2 linked regions of the Kluyveromyces lactis genome follow. The protein of the gene in region 1 interacts with the protein of each later gene in a pairwise test. Links are inferred from orthologs where the notes say so. Each region holds a gene or a part of one and is shown on either strand. Other genes may lie near its edges.

Region 1 (2,186 bases):
CACTTGTTGAAAGAGAAATAAAGAACAGGGACTGCTTGTTACATTTTTTGAGAGGAGTGTTGAACCTCAATCCACTCGAACGTTGGACCCCACAACAGGCCATTTTGCATCCCTTCATCACAGAAGAACCTTTCACAGGGGAGTGGTACCCACCGGGTACCATTCCAAAGAAATCACAAACAGCTCGTAATCCTTCATTACAATTCGACTCTGTAGCGTTGGACAAGTTACAACTTGGCGACTAATGTAAGCAAACACATATGTAGCATTTTGACTTGATATTTTGTATAATACCGATCTAATTAACCGAATAAAATAGGTTCTTAATTCCATTCACACCGCAGTTCAGTCCATCTCTCAATATTAAATGTGATATTTTCAGAAATATATATGATATTTATGTACATGGGTTTAATATTCCTTTCGTTAAGAGATATATAGTCATTAAGTTACTCTGATGCAATGGATAGAGAAACAAGAAGAAGAGAAGCGTATGGTACAGCGCAGCAACCGCACGAAACAAGTTTAGAAAATGGGAAGTCTGATTATTCTTCCGATCTTCAAGCTTGCATTGGTTGATCTGGCAAAGGTGGGGCCATTGGCTTTGCTTGCCAAGCAGCGTATCTTTGGAACATCAAACCAACACCTTCAATGACACCAAGTAAACATGCACAAGTGATAGCTGAGTTTCTGGTATGCTTCCAACCTCCTCTGATAGCCAAAGCACCACCGGTGAAGAAACCGGCAATAATAGCATTCCATGGATCTTCTCTTTTCCTCACGGCCTTAACACCACAGTCAAAAGTAGAAAACAAACCACCCCATACACCGAAGTTACCACCGACAACTGGTGCTCTGGCCTTAATTGCACTGACAGCACCAGCTCTTCTTTCACCTAGTGGAGAGTTACGGAAACCCTTGATACCATGCCAAACACAACCACCAATGACACCCATAGCAAAGGCACCACCGAAATCGTTAAGAATCACAATAGGACAAGGATCCCTCGAATGATCAGCAGACATATTTGTATTATTCTAGATTATATTTGCCTTGATCCGAGAATTCAGTTTAAGCTCCAATATCGCTCTATGTCCTTGATATTAGCTGCCAAAAAAAAAAAGTAGATAGCCCTATCTTTCACCTTCTTTCTCCCACGAGTGATGTAGATTCTCTAATTCTGATAATGAATCTTAAATGCAGAGATCAAGCATACAATCATTACAGACCTGAAGACCAGTTATCTCATGGTGTATGATGTCTAACTTTGCCAGTTCCAGTTTCAATATTGAAAAATTTCTATGAAAATTCACGGCAGGGTAACGTTAAAACTAATAATTCATTCATTCATACTCAAAAGATACAAAATTATATACATATATGCTTAGATGATAGGCAATATGCCCTGCTGTCAGTAGCGTAAAGTGTTCTATGGCTATGGAAGTGGATTCGGATGCGTCTGGGAATTGTTCGTTCCACCATCGGGCTCATTTTGTGATTCACCCTGTGGGAAGACGACATAGTAGAACGTTATCGGTACCGGCTCGAACTGGTTCTCGTACTGGTTATGATATTGGTAAGTTGGTAGGACGTTCCTATCTGGTTCCTTTGCTTGCTGGGACGGAGGTGCAAGTCTTCTGGTCTGTCTCTTGGTTCTTATTCCTGTTCTAGATCTGTATGATTTTGTCATTACGGGGCGTGCGTGACTCTTCTGTATTGCTTAAGGATTTTGTACTCTCGTGATATTGTCTAAGCCTGCGAATGGACGCATTAATGAGCAAGGGACGACCTTGGTCGTCCTTTATATACAGATACTCCTTCCACGGATGTGAGTCAAGACCGATTTTCTTTCGTATTCCAAGAACTCGGTATCAAAGGTTACGGTCGATGCCCCTCGATGATTACTTCAGCCGCACAGAAATCCAGGCAGCAATGTCCGGAAAATCTATTTTCGTTCCGGAATCTTTCATCCACGTGATATACACGTGGATGTCACGTGAGAGTGGTTTTTCTTTCCCACTCTCTGTGTCTCTCTTTTTTGAGTCAGCTTACCATGACTCCATAAGAAAAGAAAGATTCGTCTCGAACGTGGAATGATGCAGTTGAAAGCGAATTTCTGTTGAGAAATCGTTGACTTGGTATCCTTGCTTCCTCTGAGAGTTCTGGGATTCAATCTCTCTATTAAT
Region 2 (2,085 bases), on another chromosome or scaffold:
CTGGAGAAGAGTGACTGTTACCATTTTTTAACCCATAGCTGAATGGATCCTGACTAGCCCCAAACAAGCTGGCCACAGTTTCCATTTCGTTTCCGGTTTCTTAGATCAATAAAGTTGGAAGCGCATTGAGTTGGGAGGGGAAGTCTCTTCCTTTTCCCGGTTTTTTGCATCACTTCTTTCTTTTAACCATTATGAAGAGGTCTGGAAAGTGATGATTAGAAGCGGTTTAACAGCTCGCTCTAGTTGTTCTTCCAGGTGTTGCATGTGATCCAGAGGGCTTTGCGTAATGGCTGCCTGAGAGTTTGGATTTTCACTCTCCGTTGTGCCCTTCTTCATGATGGAACAGTTTTCCCATCTTCTAGAGAATTTTTGTATTAATTAGTTGTAGACATAAATCAGCTTCATCAACCACTGATGATATTGTGCTGAACATGATACGATGAGCATGCGATGCGTGTATTTCGGTTTATTTGAACTATTTACAAAACTTATACTAGGCCAGAGAGAATGACCTTACGCTATTTTTTCAACTCCGGTGACTCCGTCGTGGAACTCGACTTCGCTTGTTCTTGATTCAGTTCTGGATTGGCAGCCTTTTCCTTTTCAGCAAGCTCGTACTTCAAACGCTCTGCTGCCCTGTAAATCTTACTCTGCAAGTAGAATGATCCACCTTTCTCTTTATCGTTGATCTCGAACAAATACTTGAATCTTTCGTTGATTTTATCCAAATTCATATCCTGTTCATTCTCAATGTTCAAAATCTTAGAACTCTCATCTAAAGTGATACCTCCGTATTCTGCGCTAGCACCACGGCCTCTAGAAGCATTTGCCGTTTGTTTAGCTGTTTGAGCTGCTGCTTGTCTGTAAGATTCCGCAAACGCACGTCCAAACACCTGTGCCCCGGTGAAAATCACCTGTATAAACGCTCTGTGTGCCATATCCTATAGTCTTGTTGTATTTCTTGGATATGCGCAGTTTACTCGAACTGGAACGGCGTTCTTAGACAAAGCTTAGAAGTTAATCCGATGAGTAGTTTAGTGTTTAATGCTGTTATTAGTTCCAGTTCTTTCTGTTCTCAACTTTTCGATGACTTTTCGAAAACAGAAGGGGTTACCCGGGGATGTCAAGACCAGCCCCACATATTTGCTGTGACACCGTCAAATAACTATATATCTGGTTGACAGCTATGCCTCATTAGAATGATTTAGCTAGTCTACAATGACTACAGATGGAGTTTGTAATTGCATTCGCTCATTCAGGCTTTTTATAGGGTATTTTTATGAGGTTTTAGCTTCTCATTCCACATTGTAGAATGTGGCATCGGAAACGACGCAGGTATCAAGAAATTAAACGATAGGTGATCCCAGCAACAGCAGCTACGCTGCTGTTGCATTGATTGGGGATGTGAATTCAGCATGCTAGTACTAGCGTAGTACTGTAACGGGGAGGAGGGGGGGGATCCAGTTTGGGAGCGTGGCTTTGTATCTGGGGTCATGGTCACGTGATCAATTATTAGCAACTCAACACCCAATCCCCATTTCAAACTTGAGATACCTCTTAGTACTCAGGCCATACTATCTTATGGCCTGAGATATATAAATTCATGATGGCTCGTCTTGATGTATCATGCCCTCATTTTTACCATTGTTCCCCCTCTCTCTCTCTCTCTCAATTTCGGTTTAAATTGAAAAGTTGAGTAGTTAATTCTACCGAAACAAACGACTTCTCCGAAACTAAAACAGGTTCTAACAGACACACAAGGACTCAACAAGCGTGATTCAATCGTATCGCAGGTGGTTCAAACTAATTTAGGTTGCATCTCGCCGTAAGGTTTTTGTATCCTACTTTCAAACGCATACTTCGCAACTCTGGTTACGGCTCCGGTTCCGAACCAGTTAATATTGTTTTCGCTGGTCCGGAGAGAATTCTATAATAAAAGCACTTCAGACACAGAGTAAGAATTAACTAATGTCCAGGCCAGTTTCATTGGAGCCCCTTCACGGACACACTGGGCCTCATCAGCAGATTACAATTGCTCCTAATTTACAGCCGAAGAAACATGAGAAACCCACTGGGATCACGATT

What was found.
Region 2: the proteins of TIM17 (region 1) and PAM16 interact in binary tests that used the Saccharomyces cerevisiae proteins (3 or more experiments, as listed by UniProt). The link is inferred for Kluyveromyces lactis from reciprocal best matches to the Saccharomyces cerevisiae genes TIM17 and PAM16.

Annotation. Positions count from the first base shown.
Region 1 is NC_006037.1:543,415-545,600, forward strand, and holds TIM17 (protein transporter TIM17), read right to left. Parts: upstream 1,026-2,186; coding exon 561-1,025; downstream 1-560. Other genes in the region: serine/threonine protein kinase YAK1, read left to right, coding at 1-245; KLLA0_A05852g (uncharacterized protein), read right to left, coding at 1,436-1,690. UniProt on the Saccharomyces cerevisiae protein: Essential component of the TIM23 complex, a complex that mediates the translocation of transit peptide-containing proteins across the mitochondrial inner membrane.
Region 2 is NC_006042.1:1,283,131-1,285,215, reverse strand, and holds PAM16 (import motor complex subunit PAM16), read right to left. Parts: upstream 939-2,085; coding exon 519-938; downstream 1-518. Other genes in the region: transcription factor HAP4, read left to right, coding at 1,969-2,085. UniProt on the Saccharomyces cerevisiae protein: Essential component of the PAM complex, a complex required for the translocation of transit peptide-containing proteins from the inner membrane into the mitochondrial matrix in an ATP-dependent manner.